Saccharomyces cerevisiae S288C: one gene and its partners. Changing the gene in region 1 together with any one later gene gives a genetic interaction. Each region holds a gene or a part of one and is shown in the gene's direction. Other genes may lie near its edges.

Region 1 (7,109 bases):
TACTGAGAACCGCTGCTTATATTGATTATTATATTCTTCCCAAAGTGAGTATTTCATAAGCGTTGTAATGATGTATCATAGTCTACGAAACGAGATAAATGCTAAACGCTAATTATAGTTGAGAATTTACAACGATGTAAGTCGCACTAAGCCAAGAACTTCTTTCGATGATTGTCATTGCTCTTAGCAAACTGTTCATTGTGAGTTTTGTTACTTGCTGAAAATTACATCGGTCAAGACCCTTCTATATTGTCACCTTCCATTTATGAAGACAGCACTTCAAGGCAAAAGTGTTTAATATTTATACGCGGATCATGATTGCTTAGCTCCTTCTTTAACTCAGTACTTGTGGTTAGAATTTTGTAGATACCTGCACACATTTTGGTAGCAGCTGTGTCGGTGTTTCATGAGGATCGGAAAGATATGTACGGAAAGATCACATGTATATATTTAACAAAGAATGCATAATTCGCCTTGTTGATGGTTACGACCAGATCAGATAAAGTAGTTCAAAGATCACAACAGAATTTTATCTTTCCAATTACCATTCAGAAAAATTTTTTATCTCTTGGAGGGTTATTTTCGGGCCTTTCAAGAATATGATAAAGATATATCTTGGCAGATGTACTGATGATTACTGGTGCGTTAGAACCGTATGGCCTTGAAAAGAATAAAAGCAAACATCGATTTTTTTGGTACTGAATTACACAATTTTTAAGGACTAAAAAAAAAAATGTTTAACCTGAACAACCATGTATCTTAGATGTCAGGGTATCTAGATTATTTCTCTACCATTCAGGACATCATCCAAAAACATCGATGGCGCCTGTCTTTTATGAGCCTTTTTAGGAGAGCTAGTATTTGAGGTAGCAGAAGCGACTGGTATGAGGCCCAAGGAGGATTGGTTTCTCTTATGGTAGCCTTCCATTGAGTTAATTTTCTTTTCCTTTCTTTCAGGTGACGCTGCTCTTTGTGGTCTATTGAGGTTCAGCTTTCTCTCTTCTTCTTCTTCTTCTTCTTCTTCTAGATAGGTACCTACGTATAAAAATGGATCGTCAATAAAAATGTTAGTGTCTTTTGATTGATGGCGGCTATGACTTTTTTCATATTGTGACACTTGTAAAGTAGGAGATATAAATAAGGATCTTCTGTTGTCTGTGAACGGATCCTGAATTGGGTTGAATGGTGAGGCAGCATCCTCGTATTGGCTAGATTCTAATTGGCTCATAGAATCCCAATCATCCTGCATATATGATTTCTCATCATTGATGTCAAAGGGATTGCTTTGTAAAGAAGAACTATGCTTGTGGTGTCCCCTGTACAAATTTTTACTATCATTTGCATAAGAATTTGTCATTGTGAAACGACGAGACAAATAACTGGACACTAACCACCATATAAGAATACTGATAAAAATGGCACCTATGACAGCACCCACAGCAATGTATACAGTTCCATTTGGTTTATCAGCAGCATTTAAAATAAATGGGTTTCCTGCTGTAGATGGGGGTGTTATACTTGCGACAATTAGTGATGAGGAGGATGTTGCTCCACTGGAAGTTGAGAAAGCCGAAGATGTTAACGATGGAAGGGACTTGGAACTCGTTTCGGACACTACACTTGACGTGGGCTTTGACAGGGCGGTTGAACTAGTTGTAGTAGTAACTAAAGTAGGAAGGTCTCTTCTGACCAGCGATACAGACGGGATAAAGTTTTTCTTAACCATCTCTGCCGATGTTTCTTTCTGAACTTTTGACAAGGTATGAGTCTAGTTGATTATAATACAAGAGTGTGGGTATGTTATTAATAAACATTATAAATTATTAACCCATATAGCTGCTAAATATAATTGAAAATCTAGTAATTTCTAATTATACATTTTTTTTTTTTACAAATGTTTTATGATATGTTTACTATTTCCCGCTTTAGGAAATCATATTAAGGGTTTCATGAAAGAATTCTGCAGAGTGATCATTGGAAATCGGCAGAAAGTGAGAAGGGAGGCTGTCACCAGGTTCCCCTATACTATTCATGTGAGTGGTAGCATGCAAAGTAAAGACCCTTTTTCATTTAGTGATTCATCCATGAATAGCTCTTGGTGCTAGCCCAGATTTTTCAGTAATTTTTGTTTTTTCTTCTGAATTTTCCAGAATTAAAAAAAAGATCAGAAAAAAGCGAGAGTTTACTTAAGATATTAAAGTCTAGTTGATATATCAACAAGTGAAGGCAAAATACCAATAGAGTGCACGTTTCTTGATGCTATGAAATACATACCCCCATTAAATTTTTCGCCAGTGGTGAGCACGGATGTATCGTTATATCGATCGGGATACCCGATGCCGTTAAATTATAGTTTCATCAAGCATCAGTTACACTTGAAGACCATAATATATATTGGCGATAAAGATAGGCCTCTCGAAGAATATCAAAGCTTCCTGGAGTCAGAAAAGATAAAATACTATCACATATTTATGGATTCAAGCCGCGATGAAGGAATTCAAGAAAGAATGAACCAGGTCTTGCACTTGGTGCTGGATGTCAGAAACTATCCCATCTTAGTGCATTCCAATAAGGGCAAGCACCGTGTTGGTGTAGTTGTGGGAATCATAAGAAAGTTGTTACAGGGATGGTCCACTGCAGGTATATGCCAAGAGTACGGGTTATTTTCTGGTGGGATGAAAGATGGAGTAGATTTGGAGTTTATCACAATGTTCGAAACCAATCTGAAAATACCGAGAAACGTTATCCCTGGCTTTGCTAAACACTGCTTGTATTTGAATGAGCTAGAGGCTGCGGAAGGAAGTGATGATGAGTCAGGAAGTGAGTCTATTCTCACTGCCAAGCAACCAATATGATTATGAGAACCAGCCGTTACAAAGAATATTTTCTGTCATTAATATATTTGTATAAATAAAACAACAAGTCTAAAGATCAAGTAGAAAAATGGAAACAAGAACGAGCACATATATGGTATATAGTGAACATATATATATTAGATATATACGTTCAAGCGTCGAAGGACAAAGACCAACCTAGCTTGTGAACAGGTTCAGACAACTTCAAAGCATCGAAAGAGGAACCGACACCCAGAGTGACGCCAGGTCTTAACAATTGCTTGTAAGCCAAAGTGACAATACCGGAATCGGACACCTTAGCCTTAACTTGGGAAGATGCATCAGGCAAATATCTAGTGGCGAATTCGATGTTGACATTGGAGTTAGGTAGTTTGCAGTTCATTGTAGCCTTAGCACCGACCTGTAAAAAGGCGTTGACGTTTTGGAAGAAGTCAACGGTAGTTATTTGCTCGTTGTTCAATGTAGCGCCCAAGGAGTAGTCTTTGGCGAAATAACTTAAAGCCATGGCATAACGAGAAATGGAACCGGCGCTGATATCGTAACCAAACTCTGCGCCACCAACAATACCTTCGTGGGCCATAGTTAAGTCACCAACAAATGTTGGTGACTTCAAACACAAGTCAAAGGCACCTCTTGCGGTGAAGAAAGGTTGTGTGAACGTAGTGTTTAAGACGGCGGACTTGGCGACGCCTGGAGTCAAAGAAGTGATCAATTCGTTCTTTAGACCAGGGGTCAAGTTGGCAAACTCTAATTTGGTTTGCAAGTTGTTTGTGTTAGACCAGCCTTGAGTTAGACCCAAGCCGGTTTGCTTGTCATTCAACTTTGCTTCCACGTTAGTAGACAGTGGACCGTCTTTGACAGGCTGTTTAGCCTTCAATGAGAACTTAATGCCATTGGCGGTTGTTGTTTGCACATCAAAGGCAGCTGGGGTAGCATGATAGAAATCCTTGTTCAATAGGTCATTGATATTTCTGGAGATATCGCTGTAAACTGGAGGAGACATTGTTGAGAGGTTGGTTTGATTTTTGCTTTGGGTACGCTTGGCTGTTTCGTGTTGGGAGAATCCGTAGCACTAATGAGTAGTGGAACGAGTTGGGGGTAGTTATATAGTAGATCAACTCGTGCTCTGCTGGCTATAAAAGGGGTTCTTTGTTGAGGAACGGCCGAAATGGCGGTGTTTGATTGGGCCGCAGCCGGCAAAAAGCACCGGAACCGTGAAAAAAGCTCGTCTGACGCGGAAACGTGCGGCAAAAAATCTCCGCGACGGGGAATTGAACCCCGATCTGGCACGCGACAAGCGCCCATTCTGACCATTAAACTTGTTGGAATAAAAATCAACTATCATCTACTAACTAGTATTTACGTTACTAGTATATTATCATATACGGTGTTAGAAGATGACGCAAATGATGAGAAATAGTCATCTAAATTAGTGGAAGCTGAAACGCAAGGATTGATAATGTAATAGGATCAATGAATATTAACATATAAAACGATGATAATAATATTTATAGAATTGTGTAGAATTACAGATTTCCTTTTATGGATTCCTAAATCCTCGAGGAGAACTTCTAGTATATTCTGTATACCTAATATTATAGCCTTTATCAACAATGGAATCCCAACAATTATCTCAACATTCACCCATTTCTCATGGTAGCGCCTGTGCTTCGGTTACTTCTAAGGAAGTCCACACAAATCAAGATCCGTTAGACGTTTCAGCTTCCAAAATTCAAGAATATGATAAGGCTTCCACTAAGGCTAACTCTCAACAGACAACAACACCTGCTTCATCAGCTGTTCCAGAGAACCCCCATCATGCCTCTCCTCAAACTGCTCAGTCACATTCACCACAGAATGGGCCGTACCCACAGCAGTGCATGATGACCCAAAACCAAGCCAATCCATCTGATTGGTCATTTTACGGACGCCCATCTATGATTCCGTATACACCTTATCAAATGTCGCCTATGTACTTTCCACCTGGGCCACATTCACAGTTTCCGCAGTATCCATCATCAGTTGGAACGCCTCTGAGCACTCCATCACCTGAGTCAGGTAATACATTTACTGATTCATCCTCAGCGGACTCTGATATGACATCCACTAAAAAATATGTCAGACCACCACCAATGTTAACCTCACCTAATGACTTTCTAAATTGGGTTAAAACATACATCAAATTTTTACAAAACTCGAATCTCGGTGGTATTATTCCGACAGTAAACGGAAAACCCGTACGTCAGATCACTGATGATGAACTCACCTTCTTGTATAACACTTTTCAAATATTTGCTCCATCTCAATTCCTACCTACCTGGGTCAAAGACATCCTATCCGTTGATTATACGGATATCATGAAAATTCTTTCCAAAAGTATTGAAAAAATGCAATCTGATACCCAAGAGGCAAACGACATTGTGACCCTGGCAAATTTGCAATATAATGGCAGTACACCTGCAGATGCATTTGAAACAAAAGTCACAAACATTATCGACAGACTGAACAATAATGGCATTCATATCAATAACAAGGTCGCATGCCAATTAATTATGAGAGGTCTATCTGGCGAATATAAATTTTTACGCTACACACGTCATCGACATCTAAATATGACAGTCGCTGAACTGTTCTTAGATATCCATGCTATTTATGAAGAACAACAGGGATCGAGAAACAGCAAACCTAATTACAGGAGAAATCCGAGTGATGAGAAGAATGATTCTCGCAGCTATACAAATACAACCAAACCCAAAGTTATAGCTCGGAATCCTCAAAAAACAAATAATTCGAAATCGAAAACAGCCAGGGCTCACAATGTATCCACATCTAATAACTCTCCCAGCACGGACAACGATTCCATCAGTAAATCAACTACTGAACCGATTCAATTGAACAATAAGCACGACCTTCATCTTAGGCCAGAAACTTACTGAATCTACAGTAAATCATACTAATCATTCTGATGATGAACTCCCTGGACACCTCCTTCTCGATTCAGGAGCATCACGAACCCTTATAAGATCTGCTCATCACATACACTCAGCATCATCTAATCCTGACATAAACGTAGTTGATGCTCAAAAAAGAAATATACCAATTAACGCTATTGGTGACCTACAATTTCACTTCCAGGACAACACCAAAACATCAATAAAGGTATTGCACACTCCTAACATAGCCTATGACTTACTCAGTTTGAATGAATTGGCTGCAGTAGATATCACAGCATGCTTTACCAAAAACGTCTTAGAACGATCTGACGGCACTGTACTTGCACCTATCGTAAAATATGGAGACTTTTACTGGGTATCTAAAAAGTACTTGCTTCCATCAAATATCTCCGTACCCACCATCAATAATGTCCATACAAGTGAAAGTACACGCAAATATCCTTATCCTTTCATTCATCGAATGCTTGCGCATGCCAATGCACAGACAATTCGATACTCACTTAAAAATAACACCATCACGTATTTTAACGAATCAGATGTCGACTGGTCTAGTGCTATTGACTATCAATGTCCTGATTGTTTAATCGGCAAAAGCACCAAACACAGACATATCAAAGGTTCACGACTAAAATACCAAAATTCATACGAACCCTTTCAATACCTACATACTGACATATTTGGTCCAGTTCACAACCTACCAAAGAGTGCACCATCCTATTTCATCTCATTTACTGATGAGACAACAAAATTCCGTTGGGTTTATCCATTACACGACCGTCGCGAGGACTCTATCCTCGATGTTTTTACTACGATACTAGCTTTTATTAAGAACCAGTTTCAGGCCAGTGTCTTGGTTATACAAATGGACCGTGGTTCTGAGTATACTAACAGAACTCTCCATAAATTCCTTGAAAAAAATGGTATAACTCCATGCTATACAACCACAGCGGATTCCCGAGCACATGGAGTCGCTGAACGGCTCAACCGTACCTTATTAGATGACTGCCGTACTCAACTGCAATGTAGTGGTTTACCGAACCATTTATGGTTCTCTGCAATCGAATTTTCTACTATTGTGAGAAATTCACTAGCTTCACCTAAAAGCAAAAAATCTGCAAGACAACATGCTGGCTTGGCAGGACTTGATATCAGTACTTTGTTACCTTTCGGTCAACCTGTTATCGTCAATGATCACAACCCTAACTCCAAAATACATCCTCGTGGCATCCCAGGCTACGCTCTACATCCGTCTCGAAACTCTTATGGATATATCATCTATCTTCCATCCTTAAAGAAGACA
Region 2 (9,915 bases), on another chromosome or scaffold:
ATTTTAAATCCATTTAAATTATCGACTGCTAGAATCGTTGACCGTTGATCCTCATATTTCAAATATGCAAAACCTTGCGATTCTCCTGTGTTTTCATCCCTGCTAAGAATTACATCTACAGGGACTCCATATTCAGAAAAGACTGTCAATATGTCACCTTCTGTTAATTCTCGGTTGAGATTTCCGATATATATATAAGCATTATCCTTATATTCATTATGCCATGATTGATGCGGGCTAAGAATTCCACTTTGTAGTTCTTTATCGTTGATTTGCTGAATTTTGTTCATTGTTATTTTGTTTATATTATCTATGTTCTTGATCTAGAATTGCACGCTGCACTTTTTGAGTTGTATGAGTAATTAATGTTCGGCCTATTTTTTTTTATCTGTATTAATCTCAAAAAATTCCTAAACCCAGAAAGGTAAAAGAGCTTATCATTTAAGTGTGGCATAATTCTCCAGCCATAACCACTTCCTTATCACATAAATTATCATTGTCACTGAGTTCAATCACTTCTTTATTGTTCTATTGTCTTTCTTTCAAGAATAGAATTATCAGTATTAGTGTGATCTTATATACATTATATTATATTGAATACAGATAATAAAAAAAAGTGAATTTTTGAATTTTTAATATACAAGAGATGATTGCTAACTTCATGTATGTCTCTTCTTTTTTGTAGCTTCTGCTACAAGTTCTTCAAAGATCTGTGCCTCTTCTTGTTCGACTTTGGTTCTGAAAGTTTTCTTAAAGACTTCACCCAATAGTTTCATTGCTTCAGCTCTTCTGATAAGCGTTTTCTTACTTACCGAGTCATCTTCTAGTACTTTTTTACAAACGCCACGTAAAGTGGATGTTATTTCATATTTAGAACCATGCCAAGCAGCCGACAATACTTTGCCCATCAATAGCTGCTCTTGCTGCGCCAGTTCCTCAGTGGTTGGCTTAATTTGCTCATTTCCGTCTTTGTCAAACAAAGGCTCATTATTCGTGCTAGCTTCTTTCATTTTTTCAAGCTCCTTCATAGTATTCTGAGCGTCTATGGCTGCCGAAACAGTTCTTAGTGTATCCATAAATACTCCCCCTTTAGCCTTCATAGAATGAAATATACCACCCATTCCGAACAGGTTCTGGGATGCAAGAAAAATTTCAGCTTTTTCGTAGTAAACGTCGCCTATTGTGTGTAATATGTCCAGACCAAATGATTCCATCTTTAAAAGATTGGCTTCCTCTTCGAACTTTTTTTTAAAGGAATCTTTACATGCATCATCATAGACACTTTCTGTTAATATCGATAATCTTTCAATCAATGTTTTGCTTAATTGGTCTACTCTTTTTTGCTTTTCTACCTCTTGTTCTTCCTCAAACTGCTCTAATTTTGTCTTCTTCTTCTTAGCTTCTGCTCCTACCTGCTCATTTTTCTTGTTTCCATCGTGTACAGTTAAATTACCAGAAGTTGTCCTCGCCTTATTTTTGTCATCTTTTTCGTTAGTATTGCCCAATGCTGCATCAACAGCGTTAGTGGTGCCATTCGTCTTACCGTCTGCAGGTGATTCTTCCATTGTTTCCACATTCTCCTTCTCCTTTTCAGCTTCGTCTTCAGCATTTAGCTCCTCAGTTTTCTGTAGGTTCTTTAATAGCATCAGTTCGCCAATATATGAGGCAAACGCATCTCCACCAAAGATGACAGAGAACTGTTCAGCTGCATCTTCAAAGCCGCCCTGAGGAATAGCTTCTTTTCTTCCATACTTATCATACTTTGCGCGAAGATCATCGTCACCTAAAACTTGATAAGCTTCGGATATTGCTTGAAACCTTTCGGTAGCCGTGGGGTCATTGGGATTCTTATCAGGATGCTCTTGAATAGATTTCTTTCTATAGGCCTTTTTTATTTCAATGGAAGATGCAGTGGTAGACACACCTAACAAATCGTAATACTCAGTATCAACAACCATATCTTTTGTATAATGCCCCTTCTGGCCGCAAGAAACACTTAATGATTTAGCATAACTCTGTTATTCCTCTTGTAAATCTGCCAATTTGTTCAGTACGCTCTGCTTCAAAATAGCACAAAATTCAGGGTGTGCGGGTAAAAAAAAAAAAAGTCGAAGAAATATATATATATATATATAGAATAAAATCTAGTTTTTATGCCATTATTATTAATAACACCTCTAGTTTGCTCGTCATTCACATATTTCTCTCTTGATACATACTATAGAGTTTATTCATACATATTATTTATAAGATTCTAAAGGGAGTGAAAAGACGCTTCTTCTGAATGTAAGGCAGAATCAACGTCTTCGTAGCCACCTGAGAGTTCTCTTTCCATATCAACCTCCATTTGGTCCTCCATCTGCTGTTCCTGTATTTCTGTCGTATCGTTTTGATCTCTGTTGGCGATGGCCTCCGATGGGGACAGAGATTCCTCACTTATGGCTTTTCTATTACCTACGGCGTTCGTCTGTGGCAACTGAGAAAGAGGATCCGACTCAGCATTAGCAGGTAACTTTTCCTTTTCGTCCAGCTCAAAAGGACAAAGAGCAGCCTCCATCTTATTTGGAGATTGTTCTCGTTGTTCCTCGGGAATGCTCTTTGACTTTTCATCCAAGGCCCTTTCTGCTTGCTCACCAGGAGTAGTATCTATTAAGACTTTTTCCTTAGAGAAGGAAGAGGAAACATTCCAATTGTTAAATATTTCTATTTTATTAGTGTTGTCATCTTCTTCAATCTTCTCTACGCTAGCTACTTTAGAAGGTAATTTACGCCCACGAGGTCCTCTACCTCTTCTAGTTCCGCCCAGAGGTCCCGTTTTTGCCTGTGATTGGTCCTGGGGTCCTAGCTTAGATTCAGTATCCGGGGAGGACAACTTCTTCTCCAAGGAAGGTGGAAGCTGTCCAGGGTTCACCATACCAGGTAGCGCAAACAGTCCATTCAATTTGCTCGTAAAATCTGCCTTCGTGGTATCGCTAGTAATAGAAGAATCTGTGTGTTTTTTAGCAATATCTGCTGAAGCGGTAGTAGCTGAAGAATTACCATTATTATGCAGATCTTGTTGCTGTTGTTTTTGTAACATTTCTTGAAAGGCCGCAATTCTTGAAGAAGGTTTTTTGGGAACCGGAGGTGGGGCACGTCTCTTTGGTCTTTCAGAGGGAATTTTTGGGATTTTACTTTCCTCTTCGGTACTAATTAGGGTCGAATCACACTCTTCTGATACTCGCTTCTCTTGTGTGTTAGGCAACTCCTCTTTTTGTACGTGTGCTTCAAAATCCTTCTTAGGCCTACTCCTTGGAATCACTGGAACGTCATTTTCCTCTTCACTTGCAATTTGTGAAGGAACGTTTGAGCTAGTTGCTGCTATAACTGTTTCAGTATCAGAAGGTCCTTGCGGCTGAGAATTCACTTCCATGTTGTCCTTGCCTTCTTGTTTCTCATTCAAAGAGGTAGTACTTTCTTCATCGGTTGGATTTTGGAAAATTTTTTCTTCCTGTTGTTCTTGATGCTTCTGTAGCTCTTCTAAACTAGATTCAGGATGTTTAGTGAACTTTTCAGCTTTGTCGTCTGATTCTGTGATTCCAGATGGAGGCAGAGCATTGAGGCTGCCTTCTTCTACGTCCTTACTAACATCTACCTGTACTTTCATATCTCCAGGAATGAGCTTTTCTTCAAAATGGCTTCTATCCCCTGCCTCATTATCTAGGGCAGCATGTACCTTTTGCTTTTCAGTAAGGTCTTCGGAGTCACTATGCTCTGTCACTTCATTATTAGACTTGTTAACTAAATTAGAAGGTGAAATAGCAGACTCATTGCCCTCAGCACCCTCGTGCTCATTTTTTTCGAGTGGGGAGGGATTTGTAGAAGTTTTGTTATCTGATGCACTTCTTTGCCCGTTTTGATGAATGGCGGCCACCTTTCCCTCTTCCACAGAAGTTGGACTTTTTTTCCTGGAAACATTGTGTATATTGTGCTTTGAAATCAAACTTTCAATCTCCTCTAACTCCTTACTGGTGTTATTCATTACATTATTTAGTTCTTCAGTAGTGGAGCGTCTAACTGGCCTCTGCAATGGTACCTTGGGCAAACTCTCTTGATCCATACCACTCTCAAACGAAGTCATCGTCTTTGCTTTAAGTATGGGTCTACGTGTTGGTACATTGGGCGTTCCTGCTGGTGTTGGTGGCTCGCTATTAGCTTTAATATCTCCTGATTCAGAGCCGGATAACGGAAACAGCTCAGATGTCTTCCTCCTTGAGGGCCTCTCAGGTACTTTTGGCGTAACTTCCGATGGCATTGTATAATCGGTCAAAATAGATTTCCTGTTAGATCACCAACAAAACATGATACTTTCTAAATCAGAAAGCTTAAATTAAAATATACTCAATATTTCTCCTTTTCTTTTGCTTCGCGCCTGGTAAAACAAGATTGCTTTCATTGTGCATGTGGTAGAAAAGACAAGTTAAAAAAGGAGAATGTACTAACACAAAATTCAAACTCCAAAGGGGATAATTGCACTCAATTTGCAAGGTTGTTCCATATGAGACAGGAGTCTTCTTCTCCATCGACCTTCCTAGCTTACTGTGCTCACAGAAAGACATAAACCGGGTAACGGCTTTTACGGGGTTACGTGTGTATATAACCGGGCATCACGAAGAGATCAATAGAGGTGCCCTATGCTCTATCACGGAGCTAAGATATTGTGATTCAAGATATAGTAGCTCACTTCAGTTTTATTCAACACATTCCGGTTCTGTTTTATTTTAGTGTCCTTTTTTCTCTCTGATGGCTAGTGCAGATGATTACTTTAGTGATTTCGAAGATGACGAGCTGGATAAACTGTATGAAAAGGCTATCAATAAATCTGTGAAGGAAACTATAACGAGACGTGCTGTACCAGTTCAAAAAGACCTTCATGATAACGTTTTACCTGGGCAGAAAACTGTGTACGAAGAAATTCAAAGAGATGTCAGTTTTGGACCCACTCATCATGAGCTTGATTACGATGCTTTGTCGTTCTACGTGTACCCTACAAATTACGAGGTAAGGGATTATCAGTATACAATTGTTCACAAATCACTGTTTCAAAATACGTTATGCGCCATCCCAACGGGTATGGGTAAAACGTTCATTGCCAGTACAGTAATGTTAAATTATTTTCGTTGGACCAAAAAAGCCAAAATAATCTTTACTGCTCCAACAAGACCTTTGGTAGCCCAGCAAATTAAGGCATGCTTAGGTATAACAGGAATACCTTCGGATCAAACTGCTATATTACTCGATAAAAGCAGGAAAAATAGAGAAGAAATTTGGGCCAATAAGAGAGTTTTCTTTGCCACACCGCAAGTAGTGGAGAATGACTTGAAGAGGGGTGTATTGGATCCTAAGGATATTGTATGTCTTGTCATCGATGAAGCTCACAGAGCTACTGGCTCCTCTGCGTATACAAATGTGGTAAAATTCATAGATAGGTTCAATTCATCATACAGATTATTAGCATTGACCGCTACACCAGCCTCTGACCTGGAAGGTGTCCAAGAAGTGGTTAATAACTTAGATATTTCCAAGATTGAAATTAGGACTGAAGAAAGCATGGATATCGTGAAATATATGAAGAAAAGAAAAAAGGAAAAAATTGAAGTGCCCCTTTTGTTGGAAATTGAAGACATAATCGAACAATTAGGTATGGCCGTCAAACCAGTGCTTCAACAGGCAATTGAACTCGGTATATATGAGGAATGTGACCCTTCACAAATAAACGCCTTCAAAGCCATGCAACAAAGCCAAAAAATTATTGCTAACCCTACTATACCTGAAGGAATTAAGTGGAGGAACTTCTTTATTTTACAGTTATTGAACAATGTGGGTCAAATGCTAAAGAGATTAAAAATTTATGGAATAAGGACATTTTTCAATTACTTCCAGAATAAATGTACAGAATTCACTACGAAATATAATCTTAAAAAATCTACTAATAAAATTGCAGCTGAGTTTTATTACCATCCGATTTTGAAAAACATCAAAAATCAATGCGAAAATTATTTAAGTGATCCAAAGTTTGTCGGTCATGGGAAGTTACAATGTGTTAGAGATGAACTAATGGACTTTTTTCAGAAAAGGGGTTCCGACTCGAGGGTTATTATTTTTACAGAATTAAGAGAAAGCGCACTTGAAATTGTGAAGTTCATAGACTCGGTAGCTGACGATCAAATCAGGCCTCATATTTTTATTGGACAAGCTCGTGCAAAAGAAGGTTTTGATGAGGTCAAATACACAAGAAAACATGCGCCAAAGGGAAGGAAGAAGGTAGAGAGATTGCATAGGCAAGAGCAAGAGAAATTTTTGGAAGCTGAACGAACTAAGAGAGCGGCGAATGATAAACTTGAAAGAAGTGCCAGACGAACGGGGAGCTCTGAAGAGGCTCAGATTAGCGGAATGAACCAAAAAATGCAAAAAGAGGTTATCCATAATTTCAAAAAGGGTGAATATAATGTTCTCGTTTGTACATCAATTGGAGAAGAAGGTTTGGATATCGGAGAAGTTGATTTAATAATCTGTTATGATACTACAAGTAGTCCAATCAAAAATATTCAGCGTATGGGTAGAACAGGCAGAAAACGAGATGGTAAGATAGTACTACTGTTTAGCAGTAATGAATCATACAAATTCGAGCGTGCTATGGAAGACTATTCAACCCTGCAAGCGCTTATATCCAAGCAATGCATTGACTATAAAAAATCAGATCGGATAATCCCTGAAGACATTATTCCGGAATGTCACGAGACATTGATCACGATTAATGATGAAAACGAAATAATTAATGAAATGGAAGATGTTGACGAAGTTATTCGTTATGCGACTCAGTGTATGATGGGCAAAAAGGTGAAGCCAAAAAAAGCCATAACAAAGAAGAAGAGAGTTCAGGAAAATAAAAAACCGAAGAAGTTCTTTATGCCTGATAATGTTGAGACCAGTATTGTTAGTGCAAGCACTTTAATTAATAAGTTCTTGGTGAATGAAAGTGGCGGGAAACAACTAGTAACGAGTAATGAAAACCCAAGTAAGAAGCGGAAGATTTTTAAAGCTTTGGATAATCTGGAGAATGATTCAACCGAGGAAGCTTCCTCCTCATTAGAAACTGAAGATGAAGAAGTCAGTGATGATAATAATGTTTTCATTGCGGAAGGGCAGAATGGATGCCAAAAAGATTTGGAAACTGCCATTATTCGCACTGGCGAAAGTCTTACCACACTCAAGCCACTTCATAATTTTGAACGCCCTAATATGGCTTTATTTGTGAATGATTGTGGTCTTCCAACTAAAATCGAGAAAAATGTGAAAGACATCCGAGGAAATCAACACAACCTTGAAAAAGAAAAGAGCTGTACTGTTGACAAGAATAACATGGTATTGAGTTTGGACGATTGGAATTTTTTCAGAAACCGCTATATCCCAGAAGGTGTTTCCTTCGATGTGGAGCCCAATTTTGTACAATACACCAAAGGGGTAAAAGTTCCGCATTGTCACAAAGTTTCAAAAATCATTACGTTATTTAACGACGAGAGTAATGATAATAAGAAGAGGACAATTGATATGAACTATACTAAATGTTTGGCGAGAGGCATGTTACGAGACGAAAAAAAATTTGTAAAAGTTAACGATAAAAGTCAAGTCGATAACAACAGTGTCAACCATGATTCATCCCAATCTTTTACCTTATCGAACGCAGAATTAGATGACATACTGGGCTCAGATTCTGATTTTTGATAGGAGACTCTTATACGTCGGCGTCTATACAAAAATAACGCTGCTGTAATATTTAAGTATTTATAGATTTTTCTATATATCGCATAAATACTTCAAGGACATTATATTTTTAGTATCAACTTATTTTCTTTAGAATTTTTCATTCATTAAGGATACGGCACTGTTTTTGAAGCAACAAAATATAAAAATTGAGCCAACGACGAGTACAATCTGTAATCTTCCACGCCTACCAATGCAAAACCTTTCTGTCATGAAGCACTAAGCATAGCGCTTCAATTTGTGGCAATCACCATAATAAACAGCTTGTTTCTTGGAGGATATGAAAAAGATTATCAATCATTCGTTAGGTGAAAAAAAACCGCAACAATTTCCTACACTCCGAAAAGTAACCTTAAAATGCAGCAAATTTCAAATTTAATTTTGATTAAGTAAGTAATCTCAACTTTCGCTCTCCAACCAGGCCTATTAACATAAACATATATCTGCTGTCACATAGTGTCATCATTTGCAATTGCTGTTATGTCCCAGGAAGAGAAAGTGGATGCTAAGGCAACCTTAAAGACTGAAATTTCGAACAATAAAAAGAACGACAAGCAAGAGCTCGAGCTGGATGAACTTGTGGGTAAACTATCTATCGAGGGCACTCCACAGGTGTCGCAAAAGCTAAGCAAGGAGGAAAAACACGCTCATCAACTTGAAGCTGACTCGCGTTCTATCTTTGTCGGTAACATCACTCCGGATGTCACCCCAGAGCAAATAGAAGATCATTTCAAAGACTGTGGCCAGATAAAAAGAATAACACTTCTTTATGATAGGAATACGGGAACACCAAAAGGCTACGGCTATATTGAATTTGAAAGTCCGGCATACAGAGAAAAAGCCCTGCAATTAAATGGAGGAGAACTTAAAGGCAAAAAAATTGCTGTCTCCAGAAAAAGAACTAACATTCCAGGATTTAATAGGCATTACAACTCGCAAAACCAGTATTTCCAACAATGGCAATGGAATTATCCCTTAATGGCCTACCCCAATCCCGATACCTTCCCTTATTACCCACCGTACCCTCCAAATCAGTCTCCAAATCAAAATTTCGGATATAATAAGAACAATTATTATAGGAGTCCTTACAATAACAAGAATAGAACCTTCCAAAAAAAACACTTCAACAGTGCCAAAGACTCTACAAAAAATATTAGATCTACTTCCCAAAAACCTGTTGTCATGCCGTCTGACAACGTTAAAAGTTCTACCCAAGAAAAAGATTCGAAATAAACACAAGGCTTTCATGTGTATACTTAATAATAATTAAGTGAGCTGCTGCTTTGAATAAGTTGAAGGACAACTGGTGTTATCTCGCTTGTCTATCCAAACCTTCAAGAATAGGGTAAATGCAAAAGCAAATATAAAATGCCACAACTACAATCAAAAAAAGAAATGTCATCGCTTGTTACAATATTTTCATTCCTTTATTCAAGGATTTTTTTTTTTAATTTTTCGTTAAAAAATATTGATCACTTTATAGGGAATATTATGTACCTGGCTACAGCTGAAGCTTGCCTCTGTATGTAAAGTATCTAAAATATATCAATTTTTTTTTTTGGATAACACCTGTTTTCATTACCCTGTATCTCGTATTCGTGAAAATAACTATTCTGAAGTAATAATTATAAAAAACATTTCGGAAAACAAAACCATTAATAATTTGTTTTTAATTTTAAATATCAATATTATAATAATTTATAATATTATAAAAATTTAATTAAAAATATAAAAATTTTCACGTGAATCATATGTATATATATTTTTTACAGAAAAAGTATCATACTTCTTATTATAATTGTCATTATATTTTTTAAGAGTGCGCAGCAGTCATTGGCAATATTCATCCGTTCGCAGTGACGCGTAAAAATACATAAGGTTATTGAATGCGGAATTATACATCAAGTTCCAGATCAGCTAGGATATTATCTAACATACCCATATCTTTTCTGTACTCCAAATACCCTACTTGTTTTAGGTATTCTAAATCGTCTTGGTTTTCGAACAGCTCCACATCATCCGGTTCAAAAGAATATTTTCGGAGCAAATAGTACCTAATGTCATCCACTAGTTCAATAGTATCAGTTTCCTGGCGGAGAGAAATTCGTTGTG
Region 3 (7,148 bases), on another chromosome or scaffold:
CATTAAGAAAAATAGCAGACCTCCTAACTGGTAAACTTGGTCTGGATGACTTCCTGGTTTTCGATTTACGGAAGAAAAGCCCAAACTCTGTTTCAGCCGTTAATAAGTTGGGTGACTTCATGGTCATATGTACAGCAAGATCTACCAAACATTGTCATAAAAGTTTCTTAGAGTTGAACAAGTTTTTGAAGCACGAATTCTGTAGTAGTGCATACGTTGAAGGAAACTTTAATGAGCGACAAGAAAGTAGAAGAAAAAGAAGATTAGCAAGAAAATCCAACCTTAGTAAACTATTAGGTAGAAGCTCTGAATGCTCTGCAAAAGACTTAAATAGTGAGGCTTGGTATATGATTGATTGTCGTGTCGATGGTATTTTTGTAAATATTTTGACACAGAGAAGGCGTAATGAATTGAATTTAGAAGAGCTGTATGCACCTGAAAATGAGAAATCTAAGTTCCAAAATATAGATTCAGGTAATGTCCCTACTATTTCAGGGGTAAATGAAATTTCAAGCAACAATAATATTCTTTTAGGCCTAAGAAGACTGGCCCAGCAAAGGAGAAGGTATTCAACTATCAACCCAAACGGGCTAAGTAATTTAAGATACTTTCTACAAAAGGAAGACTTCAAAGGAGCCAATAAGATAATTCAGAGTAGTAGTGGTACTGAAACTCACAATATACGTACTTTGGAGCATGTTAAAAATACTTTAAAGGATTTGGTAGGACAAGAGAGGAAAGTAGATGTTGTTCAATGGAAGTCCTTATTTGACGAACATTCAACTTTTTTAACCATAAATCAATCGGCTGCATATTGGCCACTACGACTAGAATATGCGATACTTCTAAACAAAGCAGACCCACAATTTTATTCAGATCGTGTTTTCCTCAAGGATTATCTACTTTTAAAAAAATCGTTGGGGCAAGAGTTAATAAGGGAAGATCTAATCGCTCTTTTAGAAATGGTTTTGAAAACGCAGCATTCTAGTCATTCATACTTTAACCTAGTAAAGCAAAATAGGGTGATTATCAGAGCTTTGAACCTATTTAAAGGTCTACAAACAGAGGACGATGGCTCAGTTGTTTACGATGAAGTGGTAATATCCCTTCTTTTAAATTCCATGGTCGCGGATGAACGGGTAAAATTGAGATCACTCTACGAGACAATAGACCACATTTTCCAAACATTTGGAGATAAGTTGACTTCAGGCATGATTGTCTCAATATTGCAAAACTTGGCCAAAATCAAAGACTGGAATAAGCTACTTCAAGTCTGGGAAGCTATCACACCAACGGAAGGGGAAGGTCAGGACAAAAGGCCCTGGAATGAATTTATAAATGTTATCAATCAAAGCGGTGATAGTCACGTTATATCGAAAATCGTAAATAATGGTCATTTGCTATGGATCAGACGTTTAAATGTTAACGTAACTCCGGAGTTATGCAACTCCATTAAAGCGTTATTAAAAACCGCTGGAATGGAGAATTCCACATTGGAAGAATTCCTAGTCCGTGGAACAAACAATCAATAGTATTACCTGTATATAATATCTTAATCTCTCGTCGTTCGCCTTATTTATATTTGAATCAAATATTTAATTCTGCCACATGGTAGGTTCATTTTGCCGCAGATCAAAGAACACGGACCATCATGTCAAAAGTACACAATTTTTGTCTTTTCGAAACAATTTGGTTTAGTTATTAGGAGAAGAAAGAACGAATGATAATGCTCATTACTCAGACCTGAATGCAAAAAAGCCAAATCAAATACAGAAATGCACATAAATGTGAGAGGAACTAGGAAAATAATTTCCAACGTTTCATCCTTCACACCAAGATATGAATTTCCAAAGTACAGTATGCCTCTCACTGATTTCAAGGGACACCAAGTCAAAGCTCTTAAAACATTTGAAAAGTTGCTTCCTCAAATGAATATGATAATAGAACTACGTGATATACGTGCCCCGTTATCTACAAGGAATGTGGTTTTCGATCGAATAGCAAGAAAGGAACACGATGTGATGAAATTAGTGGTATACACTAGAAAGGATCTTATGCCCGGCAATAAGCCATATATAGGAAAGTTAAAGAATTGGCATGAAGAGCTGGGAGAAAAGTTTATTTTACTGGATTGCCGAAACAAAACTGACGTCAGGAATCTACTAAAAATACTAGAATGGCAAAATTACGAACTAGAAACAAATGGCGGATATCTACCTATGGGATACCGAGCATTGATTACTGGCATGCCAAATGTTGGAAAATCTACTTTAATAAATAGCTTGAGGACAATTTTTCACAATCAAGTGAATATGGGAAGAAAATTTAAGAAAGTAGCCAAAACTGGTGCAGAAGCTGGTGTTACTAGAGCCACAAGCGAGGTTATTAGAGTAACTTCACGGAATACGGAATCAAGAAATGAAATATACTTGATAGATACTCCAGGAATCGGTGTTCCCGGTCGCGTTTCAGATCATAATAGAATGCTAGGACTGGCGTTGTGTGGTAGTGTTAAAAATAACCTTGTAGATCCAATATTTCAAGCGGATTACCTTTTATACCTAATGAACTTGCAAAATTTGAACGATGGAAGAACAGAGCTTTACCCTGGAAGCACCAATTCTCCCACAAATGATATATATGATGTTTTAAGAAGGCTTCAAGTGAATAAAAGCCAAAATGAAAAATCAACGGCTATCGAGTGGACTAACAAATGGAGGTTGCATGGAAAGGGTATCATATTTGACCCTGAGGTACTGTTGAATAATGACGAGTTTTCTTATAAAAACTATGTAAATGATCAATTGGAAAAGTTAGGAGATCTTTCGTATGAGGGATTGTCTAACAAACTAAAAGGGAACCCCAATCAAGTATTCTAGTAAATAATATCCAGCATACATAAGCTTATCTAATAATTAGATCATTTTACAATGTGTACCGAGTAATACAAAGTTGAGGGGGGAAAAAGTGTTATAATGCTCAAAATACCTGTTCAAAGAAATCACCACCCAATTTCGGAAAGTCTTACTCCATTGGAAGCATGACTAATAGATTCGATTGATACACCACCCATTAACTCTCCTAAGTCACTAGATACTTCCAACAATTTGCTGGGATTGTCAAAGTGAGTGGTAGCCTCTACTACTGCAGTGGCCAACCTTACAGGATTAGATGATTTAAAAATTCCTGAGCCAACAAACACACCATCACAACCCAACTGCATTAACAATGCGGCATCGGCTGGCGTTGCTACACCACCTGCAGCAAAATTTACTACTGGCAACTTACCTTTTTCTAAAACATCTTTCAGCAAAGAAACTGGTACCCTCATTTCCTCAGCAACTTTTGCAATGTCATCTTCGCTCTTCAATTGTTGGCACGCCTTTATCTCCTCTGTAATTCTCCTTATATGCTTGACGGCTTCAGAGACATCGCCCGTTCCAGCTTCACCCTTGGTACGAATCATAGCGGCGCCTTCATTAATTCTTCTCAAAGCTTCACCTAAGTCTTTAGCGCCACAAACAAATGGAACTTTGAATTTGTCCTTTTCAATGTGGTGAGTCCAATCAGCAGGAGTCAAGACTTCACTTTCGTCAATATAGTCAACTTCCAATGCCTCAATAATTTGAGCTTCAACAAAATGGCCAATCCTTACCTTAGCCATGACGGGAATGGAAACGGAGTTCATGATGTCCTTAATCATCTTCGGATCTGACATGCGGCAAACCTTTCCTGACTTACGCATATCTGCTGGGATGGATTCTAATGCCATTACCGCACATGCACCAGATTTTTCAGCTATTTTTGCCTGCTCTGGAGTAACAACATCCATAATAACGCCACCTTTTAACATTTGGGCGAGACCACTCTTGATCTTAAAGTCTTCTCCAGTCATCGTGATAATTAACTGAATATTAGTACTGTGTATATTTGCTAGTCGTTCCTAAAGGTTTCTCCAACAATACCATAGACTTCGTCCATAGCTCTCAGCGTCCTCCTATTTATATCGAAAATGGTACTTCGCAGCCAGAATTACAGACGTAACTAACGGTGCGGCAGAGTGTGTCAGAGTCATGAAGAAATGGCGGCGCTACCTGAAAAGTAGTGAAAAAGCCCGGCTTTCAACCCTTACCCTTGTCGGCTGAGTCATTATGTCATGATGAGCTATTCCAACTAGTGCCATAAATTCCAACTGAGTCAGTAAACGGCATTTATCAGCAATAACTGGTCACGAACTCTTTGAATGTTTTATTCTTTCTTCCAAAAATCACGTTGATGCCACCAGGTTTTTTTTTCTTATTATTTCATTTCGTTAAATAGAAAGAAAAACCATATCTTAAAGTATGCACAAAACCCACAGTACAATGTCCGGAAAGTCGATGAAAGTAATTGGGGTTTTGGCGTTGCAAGGTGCCTTTTTGGAGCATACCAACCATTTAAAAAGGTGTTTGGCTGAAAACGACTACGGAATAAAGATAGAAATCAAAACTGTAAAAACTCCTGAGGATCTAGCCCAGTGCGACGCCTTAATTATTCCCGGAGGAGAATCTACGTCGATGTCCCTCATCGCTCAAAGAACAGGCTTATATCCTTGTTTATACGAATTTGTTCATAATCCGGAAAAGGTAGTTTGGGGTACTTGTGCTGGTCTCATCTTTTTAAGCGCGCAATTAGAAAACGAAAGTGCCCTAGTAAAGACTTTAGGTGTGTTGAAGGTCGACGTGAGAAGAAACGCATTTGGAAGACAAGCTCAATCTTTTACACAAAAGTGTGATTTTTCCAATTTCATACCTGGCTGTGATAATTTTCCTGCTACATTTATTCGCGCACCCGTGATCGAGAGAATTCTTGATCCTATCGCGGTTAAAAGTTTATATGAATTGCCAGTGAATGGAAAGGATGTGGTTGTAGCTGCAACGCAAAATCATAATATCCTTGTGACTTCTTTTCATCCAGAGCTTGCTGACAGTGATACAAGATTTCATGATTGGTTTATCAGACAGTTTGTTTCTAATTAAAATACCGCCGGTTTTCCACATTTTTATATTACCAAAACCTGAGAGATTTTTTCACATCGATAAATCTCTACTCGTTTACTATCGAACAATGCTCTAGGTACGATGATATTGTTAAAAACTTCAGATACATTTTGTAGCTTGATATGGTTCAAAGTCCGAAAAGATAGCCAAACTATTGCTTGACATCGAAGGTATGTTATTTGATTAATTTCACTTTTGTCAAGCTCTTTTATTCTTGTGTGTCGTAAATTAAAAAATTTTGTGAATTTACTATCATCTTCCTTTATGTACAACGATTTAAAAGTTCTCTTATCGACTTTTAGTTCCTTTAGTATATTTTCCTCGATGTTCCACCACTTGATTTTACTTACACGTTTCATTGTCAGAGATTTAAAATTTTTGGGAAAGACAATGCTATTCAGGTCGATGTAAGCTACTCTACTTAATACAAGCTTTTGCAAGTTGTCCCATCTTGTAAAGTCAGCTAGTCCGGTTCTGGAAATTTGATTCATGCGTGATAGGCGTATTTCATTTATCCTACGTTTCACTATGTAACTAATCGTTTTACCAGGATTGTCTCTGAACCCATGAAAATTTATTAGCAACTCATATAATTTCTCTCCTCTCACAGTGATCTTCCGCAGGCTCTTCATGGATTCCATACTTCTTATTGTTCTTATAACAGAAATACTTGTTAGTTGGTTGTGCGTTGCTCCCACATTGCCATTATCTGAATGTGATCTTTTGGATGCTGACCTTTTCTTGTTTTTAATTGTGGAGCTAGGTGAGGAGTTTTCGTCAGAATTAGCTCCACTAACATCAACATCTTTCTCTTCTCCTACTTCTTCATCTTGTCCAAATTGTACCTCCCCGATTGTTGCGAATAAATCTTTCTGTTCTAAAATTGATAAGCATTTGTCTACTAGTTGTGGAGTTAGATTATCAATGTTGAATTGAATATTACTTACATTAAGTAAGTCAAGCTCGTCAAAAGCAACACTGTCTATCACCCACTTCTTGTACTCTTTAAAAGTATACCAAACTTCTAACATACTGGCCTTATTGAAGTAGGCCAGTCGAAGTTCATTATCAAGGTACGTCCATTCTAATGCATCTATAAGCGTTCCGTCATAAAGATGGTTTACTTTGAAACAGTCCAAAACCAGGCAATCATAGCGCAACCAAAATGCATACTCAAGCCATTTTTCAATGAGTTGCGGAGAGTATTCGAAAATGTTCAAATACGTGGCAAAAACAGGATACATGTATCTCAATAATTTCTTAGATCTCTTAGACCTTTTATAACTTGGTTTTCCTGGAAGCTCCACATCATTAGATTTGTATAATATATCTATTGGGTAGGGATGTGCTCCGCAAAAATTACCATCTAAATGGAAGTAAACTTCTTTTCTAATGTCAATTGGTAACTCTAAGAATCTAACAGGATTGAAAGAAGGCATCAAGCGACATGGACTTCTGGGGACTCACAGTCAGCTTTCTGTTGATAGCATCTCATCTCACAATGTTTTGTTTTCAAGCCCTCGAAGGTAGTTAAACGCGAAAACGTATCAAAATGCAAAGCACTCTAAAATGAAATTTATACAGGTTCCTTTTTTCAATAAAAAGAGAAGATATTATTTTTTTCGATTACAATGAGAAAGAGATATATATGTATGCCTGAATATCTATAAAATAGATACAAATTAAAATCTATATGCTAATATTTCCTTAACTCGTTAAAAGTTGAAGCATACCTTCAATTCTTTGAGCTTCTTTAGACTTATGAATTTCATGTCTAACTTTAGTTTTCAAATCTATCATCAATTCTTGAAGAACTGGAGAGCTTTCTAACGTATTCCCATATAATTCTAAAACCACGGCGACCCAATCCGCTACAATAGATGCTGATCTCACATCTTCAATACCTTTTAAGCACCAATTCAGTAGCGGCTCTAATGTAGATTCATCTCTACCATATAGCGCTACACGAACTTTGCCACGTTTGCGTAGTTCTTGAAGAACAGTAAGTGTCAACTCTTTGGCCATACCTGGTACAAAGGCATTGTCGAGTGCTTCGCTCCATTTAAACTGATTTATGTTCCTTTCGAATGCACGCATACGACGTTGAGA
Region 4 (7,480 bases), on another chromosome or scaffold:
CAACATCAGAAATTCTATAGCCAGCATCCTCATAATCTAAAGAGGCAAATCCTCTGGACACCGATTTTAATTTACCAAAAAAGTCATCAACTAGATGCGATAGCGGAAGGTAATATTTTAACATCACTTGTCCATTGGTGTTTAGGTATGTTATATCAATTTGTTCTCCTCTATTACTATCGCATAAGCGTATGACACTACCTAAATATTCCTGGGGCAATGTCATAACTGCCTCTATAAACGGTTCATGGAAAGCAGCAACGTTCACCCTCTTTGTTGCTCCGTCTGGAAACTCATCCGGATTTGTTATAAGCTTTTTCTTACCATCGGTAAACTCCACCAAATAAGGAACTGTGGGTTGAGTAATGATCAATTTCGAACCATACTCTTTTTCTAGTCGTTCACGAAAAACAGATGCATGTAAAGATCCTAAAAAGCCCAATCTCCAACCTTGACCCAAAGCATTGGAGGTCTCACGTTCCAAAGTAACTGACCTATCGTTGAGGACAAGTCTACTCATATCATCATCCATGGCTTTGAATTCAATCCCATCAGCCGGGAAAGCACCCACAAATACCATGGGTTTTTGTTCTTCAAATCCGGGAAGTACTTCCGTTTCATTTACTTTACTTAAATGCATTATAGTATCTCCAATTTTTGCTTCTTTAGAATCCTTCATTCCCAGCACTAGATAGCCAACCTGTCCTGTCTTTAGCGTACCTGTAGAGGTTCTGTCAGGATACATGATTCCAATATCTTTGACTTCGTATTTTTCTTTTGTCTGAGCACAAATAACCTTGTCATTTTTACGTACAGAACCATCAACAATATTCACTAGAAGAACCGCTCCTAAGTATGCGTCGTACCAAGAATCCACTAATAATGCTCTGAAGGGTTTATCAGGCCTCCCCGTTGGTGGTGGTATACGATCAATTATAGCCGGTAGTAACAGTTCCTCTACATTTAATCCTGTTTTAGCACTTACTCCGATTATATCTTCCTCGGGGAGCTCAAAGTTATTCACTATCTGATCCTTTACCTGTTTAACATCTGTAAAATTTAGATCAATTTTGTTTATTACTGGAATTAATTTCAATCCTAAACTGAAGGCTAAATAAAAATTAGCAACCGTCTGTGCTTGTATGCCTTGTGATGCATCAACCAAAAGAATTGCTCCCCCACAAGACGCATATGACCGTGAAACTTCACCTCTGAAGTCCACATGTCCTGGCGTGTCAATTAAATGTAAAAGATAGTTTTTTCCGGTCCTCTTATCTTTATAAAACATCGAACATGTTTGCGCCTTTATAGTAATACCTCTTTCTCTTTCGACTTCCAATTTATCCAAAACTTGTTTATTTCTCGCATTGGGATCGATGACATGCGTTATTTCCAGCAGTCTGTCACTTAAGGTTGACTTCCCATGGTCAACATGGGCAACTATAGAGAAATTTCTGTAATTTTCGAGAGGTATTTGCTCGATCTGTGCTTGTAACTTCTGTGCAGGGGTAGTCGTATGGTTATATCGTAAGAAATATGCGTGTCGTTTATAACACCGTATATGTCTCACTGGCCTAATTCTAAATTTCAGCATTTTTATGTGCAACTAGTTTCCCATATTCATGGCTCTTTTTCAATGGTTGCGGCTACAAATATAGGCGAGTTATACTTGCCCTCGTCTATTATTCAACTTTTTTATTTACATCAAAATAGCAACATAAACATACGGAGATGATGAGAGAAAAAAGAAGACAAAAGGTGTGTCTTAATTCAGTTAAATGAAATTAAAATTGATAGTAAATGGTTGTGAAGCACCTGATGATTATAAATTGCTAAGAACTACTATCAATACAGTTGCTTCGCTACGAAAGACGGCTATCTTAAGATTTAATAGTGAAAGATTGACAATAATATCCACTCCAAAATCATCACTCAACAGCAGTAACAACGGTACAATATTACGAGGGGATACTGGTCAGCTTTGGTGTACCATTCCTCATGATGTATTCAGATTATATACAGTTATATCAGCTCGCGAGCTCAATACAATAACAATGGAGTGTAATTGTGATTCTTTATTGAGTGTGTTTAAAAGGTATGATCGAGTAATGAACCAAGGATCTTCCTCTAATATGACTATAAAACTACAGTCAATGCCAGAATGGAATACAAATAACGGAACACTTTCAGGAGGAACAGCAGGAGGCGTAGATACAACCTCAAAACCGAACCCCATTTGTGCTCTAGGTATAACATTCGAAGAAATTGTACATACTAGCGGCCCAAATGACGCTATAGTTATGAATGGGGGAGTGGATGAGCACAATGGTTTACCAACCACAGTAGGCACAGGAAATCTACTCGCAAGCAATAAGGTTATCATGCATTCGTTCAAAGTACCTGTCAAACTATTATTCCGAGCACAAGATACGCGAATACAAGAGCCAATGATTAACTATATTCAACTGATGATGTACAAGCTGCCACCAATATCGGGCGAGTTTGGCTCCGCCTTCCACGGGTTTATTAGACGTGTTGAACGGTACAGTAATGTCAACCACATTCATTTAATGGGAGTCAAAAAAAAGGAGCATGGAAATGAAGGTGATGATGTAGAACTTAAGATAATTGTGAATGAATTAGATTGGCATTTGGAAATATGCTGGAATGGACCCTTAGACTCTGTGATACAACGCCAAGAAGGGCTCACTGACAATCCTTCCCAAAACCAGCACATCGACACAGACGGCCGGCAGGAGGAAGGATCTCTTCCGATTATCGAAGCGGATAAACCGATGTCTTCACTATATACCAATACTAGAGATCGAGAGATGGAAGAAAATATCCGCTACGATGAAGATTTATTAAGAATTGAGGATAGCTCGATCGCAGATACGCGGGGAAACATTTACACAGCTGATACTAGCGGTGATACTGAATTTAATGACATATCCGTTATGGTGGAAAAGGCTGAACAGGAAAGTTCGTCCACACATGAAGTAATCATCCGTTGCAAAGATTGGAAGGTGTGTTCCAAGTTATACGCTGCATTTGAAGAAGTTGTTTTGGCGATTTCTCACGACGAATCCTGCGTATTCCACTGTTCGTTGGATCGTGGTAGCTTGGAAGATAGCGAAGATGTGGAAAAACCAAGGGAAAGAGGACAAATCATATATTATATAGCAAGATCGAAGGGCTTGTAAACCCTACAGCGGTACATTTCTTTGCTACGTTGCTAAGGAAACTCTTTAAATCTGACATGGCTGAGAACTGCAGAGTTGCAGAGTTGCAGACTATCACATCCGTACATATGTATAAAAAAATCCGTGCTTTACATACTAACTGCTTTTCTTTTTTCCGTTCGAAAAAAAAAAATGTCGTGAGGTTGTCGGAAACCTCAGAAAAAATAGATAGAACAAAACAGCCTTACGAACGGTATGTTGCATTTTAAAGGCTACATGAACTGCACATTAAATTTGCCACTGTAATAATCTTCCATATCCCCATACAAAAACTACGCAAATATGGTACGTAATGCCTCATTAGGATTTTAAAATATGAAAAAAATGGACGTTTCAGCGAGGAATGAATAACAAGAAATAGCTAATTTGAATATATTACTGGTGTTTCATATCTATATATACCGCAGAAAAAGAAATAAAACGCAATATATCTTTAAACTGGCTCCACCCTGAGAATATGATAGGAAACTTTTTAAATTTGAGTTCTGTTACATCAAAAACGTAATTGCTTGACACAGATTTTTCGAGGGCAACAGCGTGGACTTAACATAATGTCGAGTTTAATAACAACATTTTTTGACGGAGAGTTAAAAAGGCTTTGAGAAAATAGCAGAGTGAAGTTTATTTTTAGCATCCTTGCTGATACGCCAAATAATTCAAAAATTCACTATACTAACATGGTCATTAATTTTTAATATTAATATTATTTATTTAGGCTAAAGTTCATGGTTCTCTAGCTCGTGCTGGTAAAGTCAAGTCTCAAACACCAAAGGTTGAAAAAACCGAAAAGCCAAAGAAGCCTAAGGGTCGTGCTTACAAAAGATTATTGTACACCAGAAGATTCGTTAACGTTACCTTGGTTAACGGTAAGAGAAGAATGAACCCAGGTCCATCCGTCCAATAAGAAAATTAACAGTTGTGGAAAAGGAGCTTAAAAGTAACAAGAAACAAAATAGCAGTCATGCCATCTTTACTTCAAGATAGTTTTTGACTTGTATTTGTATTTCCGTTATGCGTTTTTTACTTTAAATATAAAGCAGTATTGAAATTATGTAAGTAGTGTTAACTATAAATTATTTCTTTAGGACTTTAACTTCGCAAAATTATGCTATTCATATTATCGATTTACTTCTTTGCTGTCTTGGTGTGATGCTTTTATTAATAAGGAGGATCTTGCCGTACCTAGGGTTGGCAAACGTTTTTCTAGTTGTTTTTGAATGGGCGCTTCATAATGTGGCAATGAAAAAAAAAAAACTAGAAAAAAACTGCAATGATCTTGACGATGACATGAAGCCTCCTTTTAACAAAATCCATTGAGGTCAACAAGCATCACCAGAGACGCCTATTATAAACTTTATAAGAGAAATACCAGTTATACAATAATGTCTACTGGAAGCAGTGATAGAAAGGATGACGTCAAATTATTGGAACTGCTGAATTCTATAGATGAACAGTTTTTAGTGCCATACAAAAAGCCGGAAGACTTGCGTAAAATCTCCTCTACTACCAAACTACAAGGTTCCACCCCAACTAAGGAACTAGACAAATTAGCCTCTGTATTGAAGGCACATTGCACAAAAATAGGTATTGTTTGCAAGCCAGGAACTTTTGATAACAATCATAAAGTTGTGATTACCGAAATCCAAAATTTTAGTAGGCCATTATTCTACTTACTAAGTTTATTCCCTTTGTTTTACAATAACAAGGATTGCCCCAAATACTTTACAGACCAACTGGATGAAAGTACGCTACAATTGCTCGATGGCTTGAGAGATTTCATTGCCGAATTACAAGAAAGATTGAAAAATGACGAAAATGCATCTCTAGACAAAGAAAGGTTAACCTCAGTTGGTAAAATATTCAATGCGTGCGATTCTCTCTCTAATTGTTCCAAGGCTGGACCTTATGGGATCCTAGCAAACATCTTAAAAGATAATGTGGCCATAATGGACGATACAATGAATGAAATAAAAGAGTGGCTTGAGGAACCCGATTTTTCAGCAAACTCGGACGATATATTTTTGGATTTTGAGGATTCAGAATCCGAATCTGATTCACAGAAAGAGGAATTTGACCAGGAAAAGGTCTATGAAAATATAAAGTTGTTTTTCGATGGGTTTACGAGGAAGATAAAGCTAATCAAATTACTTGTATCAACTTTCAGGAAAACTCTGGTGTCAAAAGATTTTACTCCTAAGAGGAATCAAGCAGAAACTTTAGACAGTATACATACATATCTGAAGGAAATACAGTTACTTTTGGATGAAGTGGTATCCACTGTACAATTTGAGCCGAAGAACTTTACCAATGAGGAGGTAAAAGAAGAACAGGCTGCATTAGTTGCAGTAACTAAAAAAGTTCTTATCCAAATGAGTAAACTATATGAAGGTGATCCAAAAAGAAAGAAATGGATTGACACATGGGAGATAAAATTCAATGAATTGTTTTAGTATATTTTCTCTGAATGTTACAGTGCATGGTATATAATCAGTCTTGTTTAGAAATTCATGCTAAAACGGATACAAGAGATATCATTGTGTAGCTGCGAGATCCACGGTCACGGCAAAAACCATGTCCATTAATATAGTGGTTGGTTGGTGGGAATATGTGGGATATCCTCAACAAAATCGAACTTATATACGTCATTCTCGTTAACAAATTCAAATTTTGTAGTTGTCATAGTAACGCAAAATGAGATGCGTGGGTGTGATTCCTGCTTGTTGGTATTTTTCTTTGCCGCTGGTGAAAAATTGGAAATGCTGGTCCCTTGAAAAAATAACCAGCCTCGCCTTAACAGATATGTGCGAGTAAATATGAGTTTCTAACGTGCAATGTTTGGTGTTTGTTTATTTGTTTATGTGTTTCAGATGTTGAGTAAACATTAGCATTGGTGTAAGAACTAAGCCCCTCGATGGTTCGGTGCAGGATTCAAGGAACAAAAAAAAACTAATATGGACGGAAGTATTTGGCTTCATAGGCATTGGTCAAAGATATAAAAAGATGCAGGTATTAGGTCCTTGGATGGAGGAAAAACGTCTCACTTACCTTTCCTTGTATAATTTATAGAATGGACAACAACAATACATTACATTAAGATTATATCAGTCAAGTTTTTTCATAACATTGAAGATCTTTCACTCATTTAAGACTCAATAACATAAAAAAAATAAACCTGTCATTCCTTTGAACCTTTTTATATCCAAAAATAATAACTGTCGCTCGTTTCACAACCTACCTTTTTTAAAACCACTCTTTTTCCAATACATTGAAATTCTAATTTAAATATAAAATAATTAATAATAGAATGTCACTCCTTTACATCATTCTTCTATTCACACAATTCTTACTACTGCCAACCGATGCCTTTGATAGGTCTGCTAACACAAATATTGCTGTTTATTGGGGTCAAAACTCAGCAGGAACGCAAGAATCCTTAGCTACTTACTGTGAATCTTCTGATGCTGATATTTTCCTATTATCTTTCTTGAACCAATTTCCAACCCTTGGTTTGAACTTTGCCAACGCATGCTCTGATACTTTTTCTGATGGCTTACTTCACTGCACCCAGATTGCTGAAGATATTGAAACTTGCCAGTCCCTAGGAAAGAAAGTTCTATTATCATTAGGTGGTGCATCTGGTAGCTACCTCTTTTCAGATGATTCTCAAGCGGAAACTTTTGCACAAACTTTATGGGATACTTTCGGTGAAGGTACAGGTGCCAGTGAGAGACCATTTGACTCAGCAGTCGTTGATGGTTTTGATTTTGATATTGAAAACAACAACGAAGTAGGCTATAGTGCGTTAGCTACCAAGTTAAGAACTTTGTTTGCCGAAGGTACAAAGCAATATTACCTTTCTGCCGCACCACAATGTCCATACCCGGATGCTTCTGTTGGTGACTTGTTGGAAAATGCAGACATTGATTTTGCGTTCATCCAATTTTACAATAATTACTGCAGTGTGAGTGGTCAATTCAATTGGGATACTTGGTTAACCTATGCTCAAACTGTATCCCCAAATAAAAATATCAAACTGTTCTTAGGTTTACCTGGTTCTGCTTCTGCTGCTGGCTCTGGTTATATTTCTGACACTTCTTTATTGGAATCAACTATTGCAGATATTGCCTCTTCAAGTTCTTTTGGTGGTATTGCGTTATGGGATGCATCTCAAGCCTTTTCCAACGAGCTAAATGGTGAACCATATGTTGAGATTTTGAAGAATTTGCTAACAAGTGCTA

Evidence for each region.
Region 2: mutations in OCA2 (region 1) and MPH1 together harm fitness more than expected from each alone (negative genetic interaction), as found in Saccharomyces cerevisiae (2 studies listed by BioGRID).
Region 3: mutations in OCA2 (region 1) and SNO1 together harm fitness more than expected from each alone (negative genetic interaction), as found in Saccharomyces cerevisiae (2 studies listed by BioGRID).
Region 4: mutations in OCA2 (region 1) and RPS30A together harm fitness more than expected from each alone (negative genetic interaction), as found in Saccharomyces cerevisiae (2 studies listed by BioGRID).

What each region holds. Positions count from the first base shown.
Region 1 is NC_001146.8:514,988-522,096, forward strand, and holds OCA2 (Oca2p), read left to right. Parts: upstream 1-2,261; coding exon 2,262-2,855; downstream 2,856-7,109. Other genes in the region: YNL058C (uncharacterized protein), read right to left, coding at 776-1,726; porin POR1, read right to left, coding at 3,007-3,858; YNL054W-A (gag protein), read left to right, coding at 4,469-5,791. UniProt on the Saccharomyces cerevisiae protein: Required for normal growth in the presence of linoleic acid hydroperoxide (LoaOOH).
Region 2 is NC_001141.2:355,264-365,178, reverse strand, and holds MPH1 (3'-5' DNA helicase), read left to right. Parts: upstream 1-4,782; coding exon 4,783-7,764; downstream 7,765-9,915. Other genes in the region: U2 snRNP complex subunit IST3, read right to left, coding at 1-290; DJP1 (Djp1p), read right to left, coding at 660-1,958; AIM21 (Aim21p), read right to left, coding at 2,255-4,294; SGN1 (Sgn1p), read left to right, coding at 8,284-9,036; YIL001W (uncharacterized protein), read right to left, coding at 9,698-9,915. UniProt on the Saccharomyces cerevisiae protein: ATP-dependent DNA helicase involved in DNA damage repair by homologous recombination and in genome maintenance. Capable of unwinding D-loops. Plays a role in limiting crossover recombinants during mitotic DNA double-strand break (DSB) repair.
Region 3 is NC_001145.3:455,155-462,302, reverse strand, and holds SNO1 (putative pyridoxal 5'-phosphate synthase), read left to right. Parts: upstream 1-4,343; coding exon 4,344-5,018; downstream 5,019-7,148. Other genes in the region: ATP25 (Atp25p), read left to right, coding at 1-1,532; putative GTPase MTG1, read left to right, coding at 1,776-2,879; pyridoxine biosynthesis protein SNZ1, read right to left, coding at 3,002-3,895; CTF13 (Ctf13p), read right to left, coding at 5,042-6,478; snoRNA-binding rRNA-processing protein UTP15, read right to left, coding at 6,747-7,148. UniProt on the Saccharomyces cerevisiae protein: Catalyzes the hydrolysis of glutamine to glutamate and ammonia as part of the biosynthesis of pyridoxal 5'-phosphate. The resulting ammonia molecule is channeled to the active site of a SNZ isoform.
Region 4 is NC_001144.5:709,203-716,682, reverse strand, and holds RPS30A (40S ribosomal protein eS30 RPS30A), read left to right. Parts: upstream 1-3,524; coding exon 3,525-3,527; intron 3,528-3,957; coding exon 3,958-4,146; downstream 4,147-7,480. Other genes in the region: GTPase GUF1, read right to left, coding at 1-1,594; MEC3 (Mec3p), read left to right, coding at 1,779-3,203; YLR287C (uncharacterized protein), read left to right, coding at 4,625-5,692; CTS1 (chitinase), read left to right, coding at 6,547-7,480.